3 linked regions of the Stegostoma tigrinum genome follow. The protein of the gene in region 2 interacts with the protein of the main gene of each other region in a biochemical or structural test. Links are inferred from orthologs where the notes say so. Each region holds a gene or a part of one and is shown on either strand. Other genes may lie near its edges.

Region 1 (8,012 bases), on a different chromosome or scaffold from region 2:
TTTAAACTCTAAAGTAACGCAACCGCTTTCTATTCCTCTGTTGTACACAAGATTCTTACCTAGGTATCTGTACCTAAGATGGTGCCATAACCTTCTACTGCATCCCAAAACCAGCCCAGCTCGTCCCCGCCTAACCTGTGCTTCCTCTCACCTATCCCCTCCTCCCACCTCAAGCCGCACCCCCATTTCCTGCCTACTAACCTCTTCCCACCCCCTTGACCTGTCCGTCCGCCCCGGACTGACCTATTCCCTCCCCACCACTTTCGATCCACCTCCCCCTCTCTCCCTAATTATTTCAGGACCCTCTCCCCATCCCCCTTCTCTGATGAAGGGTCTGGGCCTGAAACGTCAGCTTTTGTGCTCCTAAGATGCTGCTTGGCCTGCTGTGTTCATTCAGCTCCCCACTTTGTTATCTAGGTGCCATAAGAGACAGACATTCTGAAAGCTTTTCACTGTACTTCTACATTGCAATACACATGACAATAAAGGATATTCTAATTCTAATTCACAAACCACAGTGAAGACAAACAACAGCACTTTTGCCTCGATTATTCTTCAGACTGGAGCCCCCTAAAGATGTGTTATCAGTTTGCTGATAAGACTACCGCAACAGGCTGGACATCAAACAACGATGAGTCAGAATACAGGAAGGAAGAGAGTGGTGCAATAATAACACCCTCCCTCTCAATATCAGCAAAACAAAAGAACAAGTTATTGACTTCAGGGACAAAGGAGGAGGATACGCCTCTATCTACATCAACAGAGCTGAGGTGGAGGAGGTTGAGAGCATCATGTTCCTAAGAGTCACAATATCATGGATCTCCCCAGCAGATGTAATGGTCAAGCAGGCACAATGCTTCTTCCCCCTTGAGCGACTTAGGAATTTGGCATGTCCCTAAGGACCCTCGCCACCTTTTACAGATGCACCATAGAAAGCATTCTATCCAGGTGCACAACAGCCTGTGAGAGCAAATGCTCTGCCCAGAATCTCACAAAACTACACAAAGTTATGCGCACAGCCCAGACCATCACAGAAACCAACCTCCCATCTACGCACTCCATTTCCACTTCTCATTCCATGCCAACAAAGATCCCTGCCATCCCAACAATGCTCTCTTCCAACCCTGTCAGACAGAAAATTCAGAAGATTGAACATATGCATCAACTGGTTCAAGAACAGCTTCTCCTTACTATTATTGGGCTGATGAATCTCTAACTTCAAATAATGTTGATCTTACTTTGTGCACTTTCTGTGCAGTTGTAACCTTGTATACCTCACTCTAAGCGCCCAATGATCCGTACGTCCTTGTTTGCTATGATCTGCCTCGAATGATTGCAAAAAAAAGTTTTTCCATTGTAAGAGTTACTGGGGGTCAAAATGTTAACACTTTTCTTCCGACAGATGCTACCAGACCTGCTGTGTTTTACTAAGTGACTTCAGTTTTGTTTCACATCTGCAGTTATTTGTCTTAGTTCATTTTCATTTTCAAGGAAAGTATCAGTCATCTACTTACGCAATCTACATGGCTATCCTTCTATCAGAGGCCACCTAAAGACCAGACACTCTTCACAAAAATTATAAAGACATTGTTCTCCTTTAACTACCATTCTCATGAATGCCCTGTCAAGTGTAAGCTGATAAACTTGGACAAACTTAGACATTTTTCAACAAGACTGAAGTAGTTGTTATATAATTCAAACACTTGTACAATTAAGATCCTGCTGATTTTAAAATACTAAGCAAAGCAGGAACTCTTTGGAGATCCTAAAACAAGAGAACAATGAGATTGCAAGGTGAAAGAGGGTCAGGATATGACATGAAAAGGTTACAGCAATGGTCACAAAATGGAGACACACAGATACACAAACAATGAAACAAAAGTCCTTAGCTGATTTATATCCATCAAGTTACTAAAATTGTAGGTAATACTACCAGTATAGAAACAATAATTCTTCCAGCACTGTTTTATTTTCCAAATAAATCATGATTTTTTTCAGTTTTAGTTCAATTTACATACATTATCATTGAGTGCTGACTCTGTGCACTCCTGTTCATTGCTACAATGTAGATGCAGCTTAAACATCAAACATGAACAAGTAGTGTGAAGTGGCATGGGAACAGACCAGAGGTATTTGAATACAACCATACAATAAAGACCAAATATCCCAAACTTGACCTCACTCTGGATAGAAAAAAAGATAAGCACTCATGCAAGGGCACAGTCTCAGAATACCATGGTGCCAATTAAAAACTAAGAGGAGGAAGAATTTCGCCTGTCGGAGATTCGAAAGTCTTTGGAACTCCTTGTCACAGACAGTTGTGGGGCCACAGTTCTTGTGCACAATAAAGTTTCAGACAAATTCATGATCTGTCGGGAAATCAAGGGTAATGGGGAAAAGACAGAAAGTGGACACGAGGAATGTCATATCAGCCATGATAATACTAAAATGGTGGAACAAGCCGGAATAACAGGACGGCCTACTCCTGTCCCCACTTCTTATGGTCTTACGTTTCACAGTGACCACAATGAATCTCCTCAAAACTGATATTCAGATACAAAGCGATAGTAGGAACATTGCTCGTTAGGAAAACATGAAACATAGAATAGAGACGTCACCGGCAAGTGCTTAAACTGTAGTTGCTGAGGCCTAAGAAAATAACCAAATCAGAAAAAGCCTTCACTGGAGTGGCAGCTAAAAAAAACATGCAAAACACACACACACAACAAAGCGGAAGACAACAACTCAAGGTGAGTACCTCTCGGAGACATAACCTCACACATGAAAACAAATGAAGAGCCAGTCACCATGCAGATGAAAGGAATAATCCAGTCACCATTAAAGACCTTCAATCGCTGTGAATAGCAGATACCGGCGGAAGGAAAAGCCACATCCCACGTGACCTCACCACGGCCCGCCTTCATAATGGGGGGGGGGTGGGGGGTGCAAATCCCGTTGTCGATTGGTCAATGGTCACGGAGACCGTCATCGCATCTCCACGGCAGCGACCCAATGATTCGACAGCCTGTTCCCCGGCCCCGTTCATCTTGGGCGGGGTCTCCGCGCGAGGTCAAAGGGAGGTCACACGCCGTAGCAGCGGATTACGGAGCAAAAACGGAAGTTACTGGAAAAGCTCAGCAGGTCTGGTTGTGGGGGAAGAAAACCAGTGTTAACGTTTCGGGACCGCTGACCCTTCCTCAGAACTTGTGATGACGGTTTTGTTAACGAACCTGTGATAATGGGGACTGCAGATGGTGGGGAATCCAAGATAATAAAGTGTGAAGCTGGATGAACACAGCAGGCCAAGCAGCATCTCAGGAGCACAAAAGCTGACGTTTCGGGCCTAGACCCTTCATCAGAGGCGAGTGATGAAGGGTCTAGGCCCGAAACGTCAGTTTTTGTGCTCCTGAGATGCTGCTGGGCCTGCTGTGTTCATCCAGCCTCACATTTTGTGAATGAACCTATCCCGAATGACCTATATGGAAAGACTACAACTCCCAGAGGGCGGTGCGCCATGCGCGTTCTGACCGTTAAACGGCGGCACTTTGAAATTTTCCATCTTTCTCTGCCAGGATGGGAGAGGTTTTTTTTAATATGCTGTGTATATATACGTTACGTTTCTATATTCGTTGTATGTTATGTATATAAAGATGAATCAATCATGTGATCGACGGTAAGTTAGAATCCATGGAGGTAAATTGTGCGCCCGCCCGTTTTCCGTAGGCGAGAATGAACGGATGGTGTTTGAACCGAGAGACTCTTCAGAGTCGCAACAATGCAACCGGTGTTTGAAAACCCCTTCCTCTCCGCCTTGTCTGTCTGTCGTGGGGCGGGGGGATGCTGGTGAGACATGGGAGCGCATGAACCAACTGACACTGTCAATCATCACCGTTGACCACCTCAGTGCTCCGCCCGACAGCCAATCAGCGCCAGGTGGGCGTGGCTTCTGGCGCGATGACCTGCATTTTTTTTGAACCACCACAGCCCATTCAATGTTGTAGATGTATCTTAGTGCTGTTCAGGATGGGGGAAGTTTGAGGATTTTGATCCAGTGGCACTTAAGGAATAGCAATATATTTCCAAGTAGGCATGATGTGTGGTTTGGAATCGTTCCCATGTATCTGTTGCCTCTTGTTTTTCTAAATATGTATTTCCAAGCTGGGCCAGAAGAGCAGAAATAAACCGTTCAGCCTGCTCCAGCTTTCATTGAGATCATGGCTGATCTGATGATCCTCCACTCCACTTGCTGACTTTCCCCGACAATGCCTGATTCCCATACTGATTTAAAATTCCGTCTATCTCCAAAAGGCTCTGATCTTGAATATACTTAATGATTCAGCCTGAACAGAACTCTGCTGAATTCCACAGATCACTACCCTCTTGAGAAGAGAAATTCCTCATTTATTCTGACGAAGGGTCACCGGACCCAAAACATTAACTGGGACTTTTTTTCTTCACAGATGCTGCCAGACCTGCTGAGCTTTTACGGCGACTTCTGTTTTTGTTCCTCATCATTTCTGTTTCAAATGTGCCATCTATAATTCTGAGGTTATGGTCAGAAGTCACACAACACCAGATTAGAGTCCAACACGTTTATGTGAAATCACAAGCTTTCAGAGTGTGGCCCCTTTGATGAAGTGAGAGAGAAGCACGTAGAATTTATGGGCAGAGGAAGATCAAGGGCAGAGAGATCAAAAGATCATACAAATAGTGTGAGTGGAACGTCAAATAATCAGTTGCTATAGAAGATCTGAAGTGTTAGATGGTGTGAATAAAGTGTCAACAGCTGAATAACAAGTGAGGGGATGGCCTAAAATCCGATTAAATGAGGCAGAGAGATAATTACAAAAAATTTGGAAAAAAAAGTGCTGGAGACAAACCAAATGATTGGAATACCATGATAAGTATTAAAGTTGTAAGTTGAGGGTCCAACTAAAATCATAAGCAATCCAAAACTGTACAAAATAATTAAGGTAGAGAGATCACAACAATTTATTCAAGTGATGGTGATAAAACAGAATAGTAAGGAAGATTTTTGGTCAAGAAAGCACAACAACACCTGCCCATTTACCTTCTCCCTTCCCAATATCCAGTCCACCTCCCCACAGCTCTATGGCACCTTCCCCTGTAAACAGTGATGGTGCAACACTTGTCCATTTACCTCTTCCCTCCTCAGTAACCAAGAGCCCAAACATACCTTTCAGGTGAAGCAACACTTCACCTGCGCTTCCAAGATTCTAGTCTACTGCATTTGCCGCTCACAATGTGGTTTCCTCTACATTGGGGAAATGATGCATAGACTTGGCAATTGCTTCACAGAACATCTACGTTCTGCTTGCAAAAAAGACCCTGAACTACCTGTTGCCTGCCACTTCAATGCACCACCCTGCTCCCTGGAAAACATCTCTGTCTCTGGCTTGCTGCAGTGTTCCAGTGAAGCCCAACGCAAGCTGGAGGAACAACACTTCATTTTCCACTTGGGGAACCTACCGCCCTCCGGACTCAATATTGAGTTCAATAATTTTAGGCCCTAAACTCTCCCGTGTCCCAGTTCCCCCACCCCACACACCTTGTTACTACCTAGCCTGCCATTACACACCCCCTGTTGTTAGTCACTAACTGTCCCCATTAACATCTATTCACCCTCCCAGCCTAATCGTTAGTAACTCCTTTGTCTGTCCAACTGTCTTTCTTTCTCTCTGGGCTCTATCTTATCGTTTACTCCCTACCCCACCCACCTCCCTATTTTCTGCATATCAACTGATGTTTTCCCAGCCACCATCAGTTCTGAGGAAGGGTCACCAGACCCAAAACATTAACTCTGTTTTCTCCTCCACAGATGCTGCCAGTCCTGCTGAGCTTTTCCAGCAACTTTTTTTTCGTTCCTCCATACCTGCTATCAGCCGACTAAACCTTCTCTAGAATGGCTCCAAATGTCAGTATATTTTATCTTAAATAAGGACACCTGTATTGTTCACTGTTTTCAGTTATGGTCTGACTATGGGCATAAATCGTAGGCAGGTAGATAGGATGTAAACAGGTTAGGTTCAGGGCAAATATTTTGCAAATGGAATAGGGTATAAAGAAAATATGAGGTTATGCACTTTGGCATAATGAATAGAGGATCTGAATATTATTTAAATTGAGAAAGACTGCAGAAGGCTACAGCACACATGAATTTAGGAGTTCTCGTGTGAATCACTAAAAGTTGGCATCCAGGTTCAGTGGGTAACAGGGAAGGCAAATGGAACACTATTTCAAAGGGAATGGAGTATAAAAGAGGGAGGTTTTCCTGAAACTATAAAAGCTACAAGGAATCTCTTCTCCCAGAGGGTACTATGGAATTCTTTACTATAGCGGACTGTCAAGACTGTATTGTTAAGAACATACAAGGCTAAGATAGACATACTGTTTTAAATCGTAAGGGAATCGAGGATTAAACGGAAAAGGCAGGAAAGTGAAGATGAGGATTACCAAATTAACCATGATCTCATTTGAATGGTGGAGTAGACTAGATGAGCTAAATGGCCTAAATTAGGTGAAAACAAATATTGGCTTCTTTTTAATTAAACACCAATTAAACACATATTTTTGATCAGTCTTCACAGAAGAGGTCACAAATAACATTCTAAAAATGTTGGGCAACGCAGGATCCAGTAAAGAGAAAGAATTGAAAGAAATCAGTATCAGCAGGGAAATGGTGTTGAAGGAATTGATATGACTAAATGCTGATAAATCTCCAGAAGCTGATAATCTTCATCCCAAAGTATTAAGTGGTCTAAGAAAGTGGATGCATATTTCACAATTCCATAGAACTGTTCCTGGAACAGATCCTGTGAATTGGAAGGTAACTAATGTAACCCCACTATTTAATGTTCCATATTAACTCTGCTCCTACGTCTTATGGACACCAGGCCCATGAAAGAATACATTAATAAAAGCGCATAATTCACCAATTGGGCTCAAACTAATGTTTTATTCAGGTTCAACATTACCCGAAGCTCTGAAATTTAACAAAGTACCTGTGGTCTATTTTGAGATGCTCAATTACAATGAAGGAACTACTTGAATACAAGTTGTTGTCTGTCAGGAGCTACCAGTTCAATGGGCCAGTATCACTGAATAGATTAGCAACGATTTTACAATTATATCAGGAAACACTTCTTTACACAAAGGATAAAGGAAATATAGAATTACACTAATCCTCCTATACTGGACCAACTTCCAAGTGATAAAGGATGTTGAGGAGGTTAGGGTCATAAAATTGAAACTAAATTTGCTAATTATGAAAGAAAACTAGTGCAAAATATGAAAGAAAGGACATCAATGTCATCTTTAAGAACATAAAAAGACAGTAAAAGTGAATTTTGGTTCCTTCATGGATAAGACTAGGGAGTTAATAATGAGGAAAACACAAAGGGCAGAGACATTCAGTCAATCTTTTACCTCCGTTGTTATGGTAGCAAACACTGAAACCATCCCAACTGTAACAGTTAAGGCAGAGGTTTTCAAAAAAGAGGATCTTAGAACAATCACAATCACTAAGGAAAAAGTACTGAGCAAACTATTGGGATTAAAGGTAAGCAAATCCCGAGGGCCTAACGGTTTACATGCTAGGATTTTAAAAGAAGTAGCAGCATAGATAATGGATGCATTGGTTATAATATTTCAAATTCCTGGATTCTGTGGATTGGTAATTTGTAAAGCAGTTATTCAAAAAGACAATGAGGCAGAAAATTGGAAATTAAAGACAATTAGTGTACCATTTGTGATTGAGAAAAAGTTGGAATCCATTTTTGAGAAAGTAGTAATGGGACATTTAGAATGTAAAAATGCAATACACCAGAGTCAACATGGCTTTATGAAGGGTACATCATGTTTGACCAACATTCTACGGTTCTTCAAAGATGTATCAAGCGATATAGATAATGCAAGTTCTTGTAGATGTATATGTAGACTTTAACAAGGCATTGGTGGTGAGGTGCCACACAGAAGGTTAACACACAAATTAA
Region 2 (7,979 bases):
GTGCTATCGCAGCAATAGGTTATCAATGCAGCAAACTCTCTCAACACATCTAAGGAAACCATTTTCCCCTCCATGTCAGGGTTAGGTTAACTCAACCTTCCATATTTCTGCCCAACCCCTATATCATTACCGAGTAGTTTGTTTTAAATGGGAGAAATCAAAACCAAGCGCACCTATCCGCAAAACCAGACATCAATGCCTGCGATGCCAGAGCACATACATACCGAAAGCAGGTTTACCTCAGAGTTGTATCTAAAAACACTATTATGGCCAAAGCTAGTATGCCTATGTTGTACATTCATTCACTCCAGTGCATTTCAAACATTATTCAAAATTTCTTAGTTATAACTCAAGCTTTGTGCAGTATTTCAGTAATTTTGAGATTCTGTCACCCATTTATTCACAGCTTATGCTATCACATGGATTGATTAAGTTACAGGTTTTAAACTCACTTATCCATTTACTATCTCATTAGAGAGAAAACATACACAATTTGTGATGGAATACCAACAGCGCAGAGTACATCACATGCCAATATCATTTCTGAAATCTAATTAATACCCGAAAACTTATTTCTGGACTCGAAGTTCATGGAGTTGTTCCAATTGTCTCCTTCATAAAACACAAGAATTTTCATGTGCAACATAACTGTAGGCTCTATCTTGGGCAAATATACAAACGAATCAATGACTAATATCCAAGAAGGGTGGTGTTTTAAATAAATGCTCAAGTTATAAGCGAAGTGAAAGAGTTTCTCGAACAGGAAGTGATCCAACTAAGTGGAAATGACTTTTAAATGTTTTTCACAACATAGGTACTGAGTGCCATTTTTGTTCTCATTAAGAAAACAAGAACGAACTACAACCCAGAAGACATCATAACTGCAAATCTCATTTTGTCCTAAAATGTGACAACATCCCAATCACTATCTCACATTTTGTACACTAATTAATTGTAGGCAGACCTTATTCTGGTCTTGCAAAAGCAGTTAAAAAAAATTTAAGGAGTTTTGTTTTGAAAAGAAAAGGTGAGGCTTAAAATTGTCCACTGGATAGGAACTTGTCACCATCTTATCAGCACTGATTAAAATCATTTAAAGTCAAATTACTCGCATTTGCGGTGTCTGTGAAGGACATAACATTTACTTATCAAAAATGAGCACGTCTATTACATACACAACCAGAACACTTCAGTAACCCCAGTACCTCCCCCCCCCCAAAAAATCACAATTGTGAAACAGCCCAAATGCAGATGGACAAGAATCTTCCAGGAAGTTTAGTACTGATGGGAATCCCCTCAACGTGGAGGAAATTTTCAAGCTTCCAAACTGAAACTTATTAGAGAAACTTCAGTTTAAAGTACTGACGTTTAACTTCTATTTGATTCTGCAAATAGAAAATTGGCCTGAATCCCAATTTCTGTTTCAATACAACAATCACTACTCTTTTAACTCATTAACCAGATTTTTAAAATAAAACAAAAATCGCACGCCCAGTTATCATCGCCCTTTTAACGCAGATATTAAAGCAGACCATTTATTTTATGAGAAATAACTAACCTGCAGTTCGGTGGTGGATCCAACGTGATGTCAGCCAGCTCCTTCTGGATTCTGTCAAACATAAAACATTGACCATTTTAAAAACTCACGGCATAACTAAGAATGCCACATTCCCAACACATTCTCCGAAATTTCACGACTTCAAAAAGTTAGGGAAATAAAATAAAGCAAAGACGTTGACCCTCAGCCTGTACGAGAAAGCGAGAGGGGGGGAAAAACATGGCCGCCTCTCACAGCTCCAAGAAGCTAATACAGTGAAAAATTTCCAACTCGATTGCCGCACTCCTCCGGCGAGCAGAGTCCGCACAAGCCGGCCCAGTGGAAAGTAGTTGGCGTCAGAAATGCAAACCCGGGGCAATGGAGTCAGAACTCGGCCCTGTTTTTTTGTACAAAATGATCTTAGCTAATATGCAAATGAGCCTCTGGTGTTAAAGAAGTCTGGCGTGTCGCGGGTGAGAGAAAGGAGGAAACCCCGGAGGGTGGGGGGAAGGGGGAAGGGGAAGAGAAGCAAAGCAGGAGCCCCATGATCTCTCCCCCCCCCCCCCCCCCCCCACCCCAGACCAACGGCCGGAGCTCGTGCCCACCCCCCCGCCATCCGCACTCACCTCTTGGCGCTGGTGGTGAGCAGTTTGGGGTTCTTGCTCATGGTGTTGTTCTTCGCTTCTCTTTTCCTCTTGCTCCCTCCGCCGCTACCACCCCCGCCGCCGCCGTTGTTATCGCTGCTGCCGCCGCCGGTGATGCTGTCGTTGTTGTTTCTCGTCTCTTTCTCAGCTGCTTGTGAAGAACTTGAAGACGAGGAGGAGCTGGTGCTGGCCCTCGAGTCGTCATCCGACATCTCCACCGCTGGCTCGCTGTCACACACTGACTGCGTTGAAGCACGACAGTGTCTCACTCTCTGCTCCCCTCCCACCTCCCAAACAAACACACAACACACCGACAACAACGGAAAAGATGGAGAATCAAGACATAGAACTTAACATAATTAAAAAGGAAAGCGGACACCTGAAGAGATAAGAGTATAGAGAGAGGTGAGGATACAATGTCAGTAAGAGTGAGTCACAGTGTATCTGATGTAGTGTAACACTCACAGCAACAACGCACTGACTGACACTCACTCACCGAGCAATATCCCGTCATCGGCTGCGCACTATCAGCTGGAGCTGCTCCAGCTCTGGAGTGATTGAGGGGACTATCCTCACAACAATAACAAAACAGACAGGATGCCACACTTTGTACAATCTGTGGAAAAAAACAAGTGTTGCACCATATGGACTTGAAGAATGAACCTGCTGTCAGATGTTGACTTTTGTATTTGTTATACTTTTCGCTGTGTGTTTCTGTCCTCCTTTTACTTTATTTTCCCTCTTTGTTGGATTCTTTTTACACTTTTGCTTCTCTGGTAATCTGGACAGCGATTGTCGCCGACCTGCCGGTTGCCAGGGCTGGTACAATGTCAGACGCGTGTCTCACTCGGACAGGGAAAGGAACGGAAGTAGACCAACCACAAATGCAGGGAGGAGACAGGGCTTCTTTGGGATTGTTACAAGGTCTGGTAACTACATAGAAAGTTGTACTCACACACTTCTAGGCACATTGTTTGTCTATTTTCGGATTAATTGACTTGGTTCATTAGGTTTCACTGACATTTTTATTCTATTGCTCATGAACTTTGTATTTAAACACTTAAATGTTTTTAAAAGACAACACGGATAATTTGTTGAATGAAGTGAAGACGTTTTCAGACATGTTTGATATTCCAAGGAAGTTTAGTTTTTTTTTCCTTTCTTGTCTAAAAACTCTTGATGTGGTCTTTCAGGATCTCAAAGACACCCAAACCACTCGATCAATCGAAGTAGTTTATAACGTATGAAATGGCGGTTGCCAATTTACAAACTGCAGGGCAATATTAACCAGATAATTTGTTTGCAATATGTTGGTGAAGGGACAACATTCATTAGGATACTAGAGGGAATACTCATTCTCTTCTTCGAAATTGACATAAGCAAAATTATAGTACTGATAAATGTAATAAACCTAAAAACAATGCCAAATGCTCCAGACTAAGTGACTTTCATCCCATGGTTTTGCAGGAAGGAGAGAATCCTTAATGCCCAAACTCTGTTCCCCTCTCATTCTCGCAACTGAACAATTCATGTAGATTGGGAAAACTCCAGACCACTTGGTTATTTAAGAAAGGAAACCCAAGCATGTGAACCAATTTGTGAAACTTTTAAAGTCTATATTAAAAGTAGAGAGTAACTGAGCACCTTAAACTTTCAGCGAATCAGAATGGGCCAACTTGGGTTGTGAAGGGCAGGTTATTTCTGACAAACCTGAATTTTTTTTAAAGCGTGTTTGAAATGCTAGTCTGAGGAATGTCTATGAATGTAATTTATATCAAGTGTCTTTTGGAAGTTCATAAAGCCTCTCATTAGAGACTTATCAAAAATTCAGGTTTGTGTAATTGAAAGCAATATTATTGACTTTGTTATTATATTACCGAACAGGGAAAATAGACAGGTACCTTTTAATTGATGGATATGACGACTGATGTCTTACAGATCTCTGTTGGGGCTTAACTATTAGCTATATTTTATTAATTACAATACTTTGATGGCATGGACAGCTATATATCCAAGTTTGCTGGTAGCTAAAAGGTGTCAAACCGGAAGCCACATAAATGGAAGTACAGAACTATGAAGAGATACTGAATATCAAGGGAATATCCAAAACTGTGACAAATGGATTTCAGTGTAGGGAAATACAAACTCACTCAATTTAAATCTAAACAGAATAAATCAAAGTACTTTCTAAGTGATGAAAAGCTAGGAACTGTGACAGTTCAGGGAGACTTGCAGGTCAATGTATATAGGTTTTAAAATATCATAGGTAAGAACATAACATGGAATATGGGCCGTTGTGTCTAGAGGACTAGAAGAGTACAACGGTTAAAAATTACCATGCAGGTGTACAGAGTCTGAGTTATACCACACACCTGGAGAACTAATTTCAGTTGTAGGGAACACCTTAGGAAATGATACATTGGTCCTGGAGGTATGACAGCATGGAATTGACAGAATTATGTCTAAACTCCAAGTATTATATTGCACATATCATAATTTTGTTTCTTGGGAATAAGAAGATTACAGGGTGACTTAAACAAAACACTTTCTCAAACCAAGTTATTTATAATGTAGGAAATGAAGACTGCCAATTTTGAGAGATATGAAGGAGAGCTGATAAGATAGATAGAAAATACTGCAGTTATTTAGGATGCTTAGGTGTAGGGGACATAGCATGAACATTAGAGCTATGTCTTTCAATAGTAAAGTTAAGATTAAAGTTTTGGCAAAGATCCATAACTCCGGCTGTGGAGGAGGTTGTTGACTTGTTTGTCGAGCTAGCTTATTCTTATTCAGACATTTCATCACCATATAAGGTGACATCATCAGTGGAGGTTCCAATGAAGCAGTGTTATTCTACTCCACTTAATTTATACTGTTTGGTCCATTATGGTAAGTAAACCCATACAGACCAAAACCAGAAATGACACTGCTCACCGTAATGGAACAAACAGTATAAATTTCAAGTGGAGTAGAATAACACCACTTCATTGGAGGGTCCACTGATGATGTCACCTAGTTTGGTGAAAAATGACTGAACAAGAACAAGCCAGTTCAGCGAGCAAGTCAACAACCTCAGTAAAGTTAAGAAAGATTGGTTGAAATTTGAGAGATTTTTGTTTGTTCATGAAAGGTGGGTGTTGCTAGCTAGACCATTGGCCATACCTGATTGCCTTAGAGAAGGTGGTGGTGAGTTGCCTTCTTGAACCACTGTAACTTGGGTGTAGGGATGATCACAGTGCTTTTGGAAACTTAACTCCAGCATTTTGATACAGCAACAGTGATGGAATGATAATACCATGCAAGTCAGGATGGTGTGTAACTTGGAAATTGCATGTGTATTAATCCTGAGTACCTGTTGCTGTAGTGTTTCTAGGTAGTAGAGGTCATAGGTTTGAAAGGTGTTTTCGGCAGAGTCTTGGTGAGTTATCATATTGCATCATCTAGATGGTATACATTGCTGTTACTGTGTGTTGGTGGTGAAGGGATTTAATATTAAAGATTGTGGTTAGGGTGCCAGTGAAGTCACCTGCTGTATCTTGGATAGAACATAGAGCTTTACAGCACAGGAACAGGCCCTTCAGCCCATGATGTTCTGCAGAACATGACACCAATTTAAACTAATCCCTTTGCCTGCCATTGGTCCATATCCCTGTATTCTTTGCATAATAGTGTCAAGCTTAGTGAGTGTTTTTGGAGCTGTGCATCCAGACAAATGGAGGGTACTCTATCACATTCCTGACTTGTGCCTGTAGATAGCAGACAGGGAGTGGGGGAGATGGCAGGTGAGTTACTTTGTATAGAATCCCTGACCTCTGAACTACTCTTGTAGCCACTGTAAGTAAATTGCAAGCCTAGTTCGGTTTCTAGTCAATGGTAACCCACAGGATGTTGATAGTGGGGAATTCAAGGGACATCGTGACATACTGGTCATGTCACTGGACCAACAATTCAGAATCCCAAACATATGTTTGAGGGATATGCCTTAAAATCCCAATATGTCAAATGGTGAAAATTTACATTTGATAACAATAAATAAGCTGGTACAACAACAACCATTAAATCATTGTTGATTATTGTAAGCCTCAGTTTGATCCCTGATGTTCCTAATGAGAGAAGATCTGCCAGCCTTACTTTGTCTGGCTAACACATGAGTCCAGACCCACAAAAATATAGTGAACCATTAAATGTTTTGCAAAGTGGTTTGGCAAGCCACTCAATTCAAGGGTATTTAGTAATGAGCAATAAATGCTGTCTCATACAACAATACCCACATTGCATGAAAGAATTGTTAAAAATAAAATATCAATGCCACTTGACATCCAATGGCATAAGCAATGATTATATACTCTCTTACTGGAAACAAACATTGCCTGGTACTTGTGTGGCATGAATATTACTTACCATTTAGACATTCAAGCCTAGACGTTGCCCAGGACTTGCTGCAGATGAACATGGACTGCTTCACTATCTGGAATGTTGCAGTGCTGGACACTGCACAAGCTTCAAATAAAAACACTTCTGATGGTTGGGACCAGCATACTACCTCGAGGAATGGTTGCAGAGAAGTCTTGTGGCAGAGATGATTGACCTCAAAGCCATTATCATTTTTTTAAAAGTTACATCTAACTCCAACCAGCAGCGAGTTCCTCCCCGATTCTCATTGACTTTGTAATTATGGGCGTTACTTAATGCTGCACTCTGCTAAATGCTAGAAATCAGAGTTAATATTTCAGGTCCAGTGATCTTTCTTCAGGGCTGGTGAACGGTCACTGAACCTGAGTGGTTAACTATGATTCTCTCCACAGAAGTTGCCAGACTTGAGTTTTTCTGACAATTTCTGTTTGTTTCTGATTTCCAGCAGTTCTTTCAGCTTTGTGCTAAATACTGCCTAGATATGAAGGAAAGTTACCTCTGGAATTCAGCTTGTTTTGTCCATGTTTGGTCCAAGTTTGTAATGCAGTATGGAACTTAGTGGCCTTGGTGCAGCAGAAAAAGACTAAGAATGAGCCAGTTATTCCTTTGAAAATGTGGGTTGATAAGATGGTTGACAATCCCTTCCATCATTTTGCTGATGAAGGGTAGGCAGATTGAGTGGAACTTTGCTTGGTTGGATTTGTCCTGCTCTTTGTGAACACATACCTAGGGAATGTACCACACTTTCACATAGATACTAATGTTGTGCAGTACCAGAACAACATGGCTGGGGTCATCGGAAATTCTGGAACACATCTTCATTACTGTTGCTGGAGTGTTGTCAGGCCCGGTAGCTTTTTGCATATCCGTGGAGTGAAACAACCTGTTAAGATTGGCTCCTATGATGCTGGGAATCTCAGGAAGAGGTCCAGACGGATTATCCACTCAACATTTTTGGCCAAAGATGGATGCAGTGGTTCAGCCTTATTATTTGCACTGATGTGCTGGACTTCCCATTGATGAGAAGAAATATTTTGGACTATCAACCCCCTATTAGTAGCTTAATTGCAACTGTTTGTACATGGATGGTTGGAGTGCAGAATTTAGATCTGACCCATTGACTGTAGGATCGCTTAACTCTGTCTTCTACAAACAACAATTAATTGTAGGACAATTGGTGATTTTTAACTCAGATTGGTTAACCAAAAAAAATCCAGCCACTTTAATGAAGCTGGAACACGTGACCTTCTAGTTCGGAGGCGGGAGTATTATCAACTGATCAGAGAGAAATATGAACATGGCCAAACTCACCATGCATAAGTCTCTACACAGTCAATGCAGCACTTGCTTCACGCTGCACTGAAATGTCAGCCTAAATTTTG
Region 3 (6,953 bases), on a different chromosome or scaffold from region 2:
CTGCTCTCCAAAGTTGCAAACAAGCAGTTGCTTGCAGTTTGCTGAAGTTTTCTGGTTTTGTCTCAATAACAGACATGTCTTCCCTCTAAATTCAAATAATGCTTCCTGTTCAACCCTTACATACATGTTTCCTTACTGACAACAAAATGTGAGGCTGGATGAACACAGCAGGCCAAGCAGCATCTCAGGAGCACAAAAGCTGACGTTTCGGGCCTAGACCCTTCATTCCTTACTGACTAAAGCTTTTTCTCCTAGAATTTGCTAGTGCTGTCAGTTCATCTGATTATAACACATTGCCTAGGATAATTGGCACACATCACAAAAAGCAGAAAACTGGTTGTGGGGATATTTCAACAGACTGATAAAAGACCATGTTACATAAGTCAAATCTGGGCAGAGACAGGCATCCGGGGGAGGTGTGAAACATCTCTAAAGAAGAGTAGGGAAAGACTAGTAAAATGGAGGTCACCAGCACTGGATTTGTTATACATGATGACAGCTAACCAATGGCTCGAAAAAAGGAAAGAATGGTGTGCTTTGATTAATAGTCAATGGTTATATTACGAGAACCAAAAGGTCCTGTTTGCTTCAACTACATTTTGTCTCAACTGGTTTCAAACCTTCAGGAATCTCTGCATAACAACAAAAGGCAGAGACAGGTTCAAGTCCCATCTGCTCCAAGGTGAATTGCATTTCTCAGTCTCCATCTCAGGCAACCAGCTTGTAACTGATGTCCATTTCAAGCCCACCGACTCCCACAGCTACCTAGAATACAACTCCTCCCACCCACCCTCCTGCAAAAATTCCATCCCCTATTCCCAATTCCTCCGCCTCCGCCGCATCTGCTCCCACGATAAGACATTCCACTCCCGCACATCCCAGATGTCCAAGTTCTTTAAGGACCGCAACTTTCCCCCCACAGTGATCGAGAACGCCCTTGACCGCGTCTCCCGTATTTCGCGCAACACATCCCTCACACCCCGCCCCCGCCACAACCGCCCTAAGAGGATCCCCCTCGTTCTCACACACCACCCTACCAACCTCGGGATACAACGCATCATCCTCCGACACTTCCGCCATTTACAATCCGACCCCACCACCCAAGACATTTTTCCATCCCCTCCCCTGTCTGCTTTCCGGAGAGACCACTCTCTCCGTGACTCCCTTGTTCGCTCCACACTGCCCTCCAACCCCACCACACCCGGCACCTTCCCCTGCAACCGCAGGAAATGCTACACTTGTCCCCACATCTCCTCCCTCACCCCTACCCCAGGCCCCAAGATGACATTCCACATTAAGCAGAGGTTCACCTGCACATCTGCCAATGTGGTATACTGCATCCATTGTACCCGGTGCGGCTTCCTCTACACTGGGGAAACCAAGCGGAGGCTTGGAGACCGCTTTGCAGAACACCTCCGCTCAGTTCGCAACAAACAACTGCACCTCCCAGTCGCAAACCGTTTCCACTCCCCCTCCCATTCTCTAGATGACATGTCCATCATGGGCCTCCTGCACTGCCACAATGATGCCACCCGAAGGTTGCAGGAACAGCAACTCATATTCCGCCTGGGAACCCTGCAGCCATATGGTATCAATGTGGACTTCACCAGTTTCAAAATCTTCCCTTCCCCTACTGCATCCCTAAACCAGCCTAGTTCGTCCCCTCCCCCCACTGCACCACACAACCAGCCCAGCTCTTCCTCCCCACCCACTGCATCCCAAAACCAGTCCAACCTGTCTCTGCTTCCCTAACCGGTTCTTCCTCTCACCCATCCCTTCCTCCCACACCAAGCCGCACCCCCAGCTACCTACTAACCTCATCCCACCTCCTTGACCTGTCCGCCTTCCCTGGACTGACCTATCCCCTCCCTACCTCCCCACCTATCTTCTTTACTCTCCATCTTCGGTCCGCCTCCCCCTCTCTCCCTATTTATTCCAGCTCCCTCTCCCCATCCCCCTCTCTGATGAAGGGTCTAGGCCCGAAACGTCAGCTTTTGTGCTCCTGAGATGCTGCTTGGCCTGCTGTGTTCATCCAGCCTCACATTTTATTATCTTGCATTTCTGAATAGTTTGATTAGAAAGCGTCTGAAAGATAACAGCTCCAAAACACCATCTCATCTAGCAATTATTGACAACACCCAGGTGTGACTTGGGCATTGCTGGACTGTTTGGTCAATGCACAATCATGGAGGAGCTGTAACTTACTCCGGTTAAACACTAGGAAAAGTTCATCTCCAGCCACAAGCTCATTCTTGCAATATGAGAATCCTATTTGATAGTGATTGATTTATCCTCTGGCGCTGGCCACTCTTGTCGGATGGTAGTGTGTTTTTACTGCTTAATATCATCTGTTTCTTGAAGATATCAAGACTTGACACTTTATTTTAAAAAACACCAGAGTATTTTCTTAGTAACTGTCACACGTTCCCTCTCCTGACATTCCCTCGTCGGGGTATATTACATTTCAGACAGCAGTCATCATATGGTATCTTGCAAATGGTGAATGTCGAGAGGGTACTTTAACAAGGTGCCCCTTGTTGGAACAGAACACGACGAATTTTGCCCTTCTTGGCCTGGGGGTGCTGAAATCAATTGCAGCATGAAAGAAAGAGTCAAAAGATCATTGACCTGAAAGAAACGTTGCCTGACGTGCAGTATTTTAAGCGGCTTGTTTTTATTTCAGATTTCTGGTAAACACAGTATTTTGGATACCTGTACCTTGAAAATCTCTGACCGACCTGACGTGGATTAATTCAAAAAAGATCAGCGCCAGAACCTTTTTACCTTTCCAACATGATTCAACGACTTGCTAAGTAAGGCTGCTAAAGAATCAGAGTATTGAGTATTTTAATAAATGCCTTTAACGGCAGCAGTTATGTCAGAAAAATCAATCCTTTTGTTGCTAAATTGTTCCAATCTCCGAGAATTACATTTGTGAAACTTTTCAGAACATACAGTTTGAAATTTTGCTCTTATTTTGCCTTGCTTATTGACCACAGACAAGTTCGGTGGGGGCATTGCATTACTTTAAAAGGTGTTACAAAATGTAGAAGAATAAATTTGTCTTTGGATGCATTGAGCTCGTACAAATTCATAGCTGAGAATAATGAGCTGCTACTAAGAAAATTTTCGTTTAAAACATCACACATACTAAAAGAGGGAGGTTGAAATAGCATGCAGTCTGCTTTTAAGCATGTGATCCAATGAATATTTAGCTACTTACAATGGAATTTTTCATCATGGCTTTCACTGTGAAACCTTCAGTTACTCTATGATCCTTCTTAGGTCTTTGATACATAGTCGCCAGAAGTTTCTGGTTGCCCTTTTCCAGTCCGTAGGCAGCTGGCATTTTATTTGTTGTGAAGGCAGAGTAGCAGTAAGACACCTCCTACTGAACAAATTCCACCGCTGTTATATTGTTCTTGCAACGTTTCGAACAAAATCTTGGTTCACCAACAGCTGGTGGTTTTCCGGGCACCCCGTTGCTAAGAGAGATACATTAAACAAACGCCGTCATTTCCGTCACGCCGAAGGGTTCCCGTTAATTCAGTTGACATATCACGTGACTGGAACGGGCTTATTTTTGAATCATGATGCCCCGACTGCACGTTGAGTGTACCCTCAGTAAAATTGACCTAAAACATTAAAGCGAACACTTTTTTAAAAGACGTTTTGTTTCCTCCTTCCTGATATGAGGGTTACTCTGTTTCAAACTTCACGCTCACAATCGCCGTCTCTCGGGCTCTTTTCTCGGCGACTCAATCCCTCAGGGCACCAACCCTCCCACTTCCTTGGTTTTCACAACCCTTAATGATCTCCGTGGACCTCCTTCCTTTATTTATTCTTTAATAATGATGTATATGGTACTACTTGCTCACCATCTTGTAAATCCTTTTATTTCCAAATTCACGTGTTCGACCCTTTACCCTCGCGCGCCGCCTCTTCCTCTGCCCTCGAACGCACTCCACCACGTTAGTAAACAATCCTGGAACTCCCTGACAAGGAAGAAAGCTGCACGCAAGCGCAGTACAACTTGGCCTACAGATTTTAACTGGAATATCTACAGGCGACATGATGTAAAATTCAGCTTCGCCCAAAGTGTCCCCTTTGTAGAGCTGAAGTGATCAAAGAAATGATCGGTAGGTGATGGCTTGACATAAAGTTATTGCCAGGTCGTGTTCAGTCGTATTTGCAGACGTCATGTACGCACGTCCGGTTAGCATAATAATCCATCATTTTTGACTATAGCAAACGAAAATTTGAAACAAATATTGACTTGAAGTGATAAATCAAAGGTAAATTAGATATAATCATTTCATTCACCATACAGTATACAGTAGTGGTGTAAACAAAATCACTGTCTCCCCGGCGGGGAATTGAACCCCGGTCTCCCGCGTGACAGGCGGGGATACTAACCACTATACTACCGAGGATCTGATGTTTTGTTATTTGGCTTTCAGACTAGAAAAAAGATAGCCGTAGAATAATTAAACGATCAATTAAATCTGAAAGATAGTAAAACTAACTAAATCTAAACTGTTCAATGGTTTAATTAATTTTGTGTATAACTTTATGTATGATAATGTACATTTTACAATGTTTAATGCAAACCAACCCTGACATGACTTACTTAAAAATCTGTGGAGCCATTCCAATTGGCCTGATACTTTGCTGTTTGAGAAAATATGGACCGATTCTGTAAAACATATCTAGTTCCTTGTCATCAATTTCTATTTCAATATACACTTGGTACGATGCAACTGGAGGTTGAAATTTGTTGACAATGAAAGACTTGAGGAAATTTCACTGTACGTGAAACGTCAACTCTGATTTCTCTTCGTATTTAATGCCAGAACCACTGAGCTTTTCCTAGCCATTTCTGTTTTAGTTTCTAAATTACAAAGATGGTCCACAAGGACTGTGACAGTTCTCCCCTTCTCCCTGTACAACCAAGCCAAAGCTGTGGCAAAGATTGCTATGTTGATGACCTCTGAAGTTTGAAATTCAACCAGCGAAATACATTCGGAAAATCCTCTTTGTATTCATTGAAATGCTGTCCTCCATGCATAAAGATTTGCTGCATTTTCCATGGGAATGGAACACGAGGCAAACAAACTAATTGGTGAAACAAGATCAAAGACAAAAACAGAAATTGCTGGGGGAAAAAAATAATCAGGTCTTGCAGCATCTGTTGAGAGAAAACAGAATTAATACTTTGGATCCAGTGACCCTTCTGAGTTTTTCCAGCATTTTTTGTTTTAGAACATAGAACATAGAACATAGAACAGTACAGCACAGAACAGGCCCTTCAGCCCACAATGTTGTGCCGACCATTGATCCTCATGTATGCGCCCTCAAATTTCTGTGACCATATACATGTCCAGCAGTCTCTTAAATGACCCCAATGACCTTGCTTCCACAACTGCTGCTGGCAACGCATTCCATGCTCTCACAACTCTCTGCGTAAAGAACCTGCCTCTGACATCCCCTCTATACTTTTCACCAACCAGCTTAAAACTATGACCCCTCGTGCTAGCCATTTCTGCCCTGGGAAATAGTCTCTGGCTATCAACTCTATCTATGCCTCTCATTATCTTTTCTGATTTCCAGTTTCTTTGGACTTTTCACTTGGTGAAACAAGATGCTGTAGTTAGAAATTTCAGCCCTGTGTCAAAATGGATAATTTGCAGTGCTGTTGCAACATGGACAAGGCATTCTGTAACTAATCCCCATAATCAGATGTGATTATGAAATGAATCCAGAATGATTTACTCCATAATAACAAAGTGTGGAGCTGGATGAACACAGCAGGCCAAGCAGCATCTTCGGAACACAAAAGCTGACGTTTCGGGCCTAGACCCTTCATCAGAAAAGGGGGAAGGGGAGAGAGTTCTGAAATAAATAGGGAGTGGGGGAGGCGGATCGAAGATGGATAGAGAAGATAGGTGGAGAGGAGACAGACAAGTTAAAGCGCAGGAATGGAGTCAGTAGAGGTGAGTGTAGGTGGGGAGGGGATTGGTCAGTCTGGGGAGGACGGCCAGGTCAAGGGGGTGGGATTAGGTTGGTAGGTAGGAAATGAGGGTGGGGCTTGAAGTGGGAGGAGGAGATAGGTGAGAGGAAGAAGGGGTTAGGGAGGCAGGGACGAGCTGGGCTGGTTTTAGGATGCAGTGGGGGGAGGGGAGATTTTGAAGCTTGTGAAATCCCCATTGATACCATTGGGCTGCAGGGTTCCCAAGTTGAATATGAGTTACTGTTCCTGCAATCTTCGGGTGGCATCATTGTGGCACTGAAGGAGGCCCAGGATGGACATGTCATCTAAGGAATGGAAGGGGGAGTTGAAATGGTTCACGACTGGGAGATGCAGTTGTTTATTGCGAACCGAGCCTAGGTGTTCTCCAAAGCTGTCCCCAAGCCTCTGCTTGGTTTTCCCAATGTAGAAGAGGCCACAACGGGTACAGCAGATGCAGTATACCACTTTGGCAGATGTGCAGGTGAACATCTGCTTCTTGAGGAAAGTCTTCTTGGGGCCTGGGATGGGAGCGAGGTAGGAGGTATGGGAGCAGGTGTAGCACTTTCTGTGGTTGCAGGGCAAAGTGCCGGGTGTGATGGGGTTGGAGGGGAGTGTGGAGCGGACAAGGGAGTCACAGAGAGCGTGATCCCTCCGGAAAGCAGACAAGGGTGGGGAGGGTAAGATGTCTTTGGTGGTGGGGTCGGATTGCAGATGGCGGAAGTGTCGGAGGATGATGCGTTGGATCTGGAGGTTGGTGCGGTGGTACATGAGGACGAGGGGGATTCTCTTTTGGTGGTTATTGCGGGGACGGGGTGCGAGGGATGAGTTGCGGGAAATGCGGGAGACACAGTCAAGGGTGTTCTCGACCACTGCGGGGGGAAAGTTGCAGTTTTTGACAGCTGAGATGTAAGGGAGTGGAATGCCTCATTTTCAGAGCAGATGT

The links. The genes of interacting proteins can lie anywhere in the genome.
Region 1: the proteins of ubiquitin-conjugating enzyme E2 E1 (region 2) and rnf4 form a complex in vitro, tested with the Homo sapiens proteins (2 studies listed by BioGRID, with this or other methods). The link is inferred for Stegostoma tigrinum from reciprocal best matches to the Homo sapiens genes UBE2E1 and RNF4.
Region 3: the proteins of ubiquitin-conjugating enzyme E2 E1 (region 2) and prkn form a complex in vitro, tested with the Homo sapiens proteins (2 studies listed by BioGRID). The link is inferred for Stegostoma tigrinum from reciprocal best matches to the Homo sapiens genes UBE2E1 and PRKN.

The regions. Positions count from the first base shown.
Region 1 is NC_081356.1:130,785,197-130,793,208, forward strand, and holds the start of rnf4 (RING finger protein 4), read right to left. Parts: upstream 3,013-8,012; 5' UTR 2,837-3,012; exon of another isoform or gene 2,759-2,836; intron 1-2,758. UniProt on the Homo sapiens protein: E3 ubiquitin-protein ligase which binds polysumoylated chains covalently attached to proteins and mediates 'Lys-6'-, 'Lys-11'-, 'Lys-48'- and 'Lys-63'-linked polyubiquitination of those substrates and their subsequent targeting to the proteasome for degradation.
Region 2 is NC_081355.1:64,890,208-64,898,186, forward strand, and holds the start of ubiquitin-conjugating enzyme E2 E1, read right to left. Parts: upstream 3,013-7,979; 5' UTR 2,394-3,012; coding exon 2,164-2,393; intron 1,610-2,163; coding exon 1,559-1,609; intron 1-1,558. UniProt on the Homo sapiens protein: Accepts ubiquitin from the E1 complex and catalyzes its covalent attachment to other proteins. Catalyzes the covalent attachment of ISG15 to other proteins. Mediates the selective degradation of short-lived and abnormal proteins.
Region 3 is NC_081362.1:24,013,694-24,020,646, forward strand, and holds the start of prkn (E3 ubiquitin-protein ligase parkin), read left to right. Parts: upstream 1-4,073; 5' UTR 4,074-4,132; coding exon of another isoform or gene 4,133-4,139; intron 4,140-4,361; exon of another isoform or gene 4,362-4,433; intron 4,434-6,953. Other genes in the region: parkin coregulated gene protein homolog, read right to left, coding at 3,879-4,073. UniProt on the Homo sapiens protein: Functions within a multiprotein E3 ubiquitin ligase complex, catalyzing the covalent attachment of ubiquitin moieties onto substrate proteins. Substrates include SYT11 and VDAC1.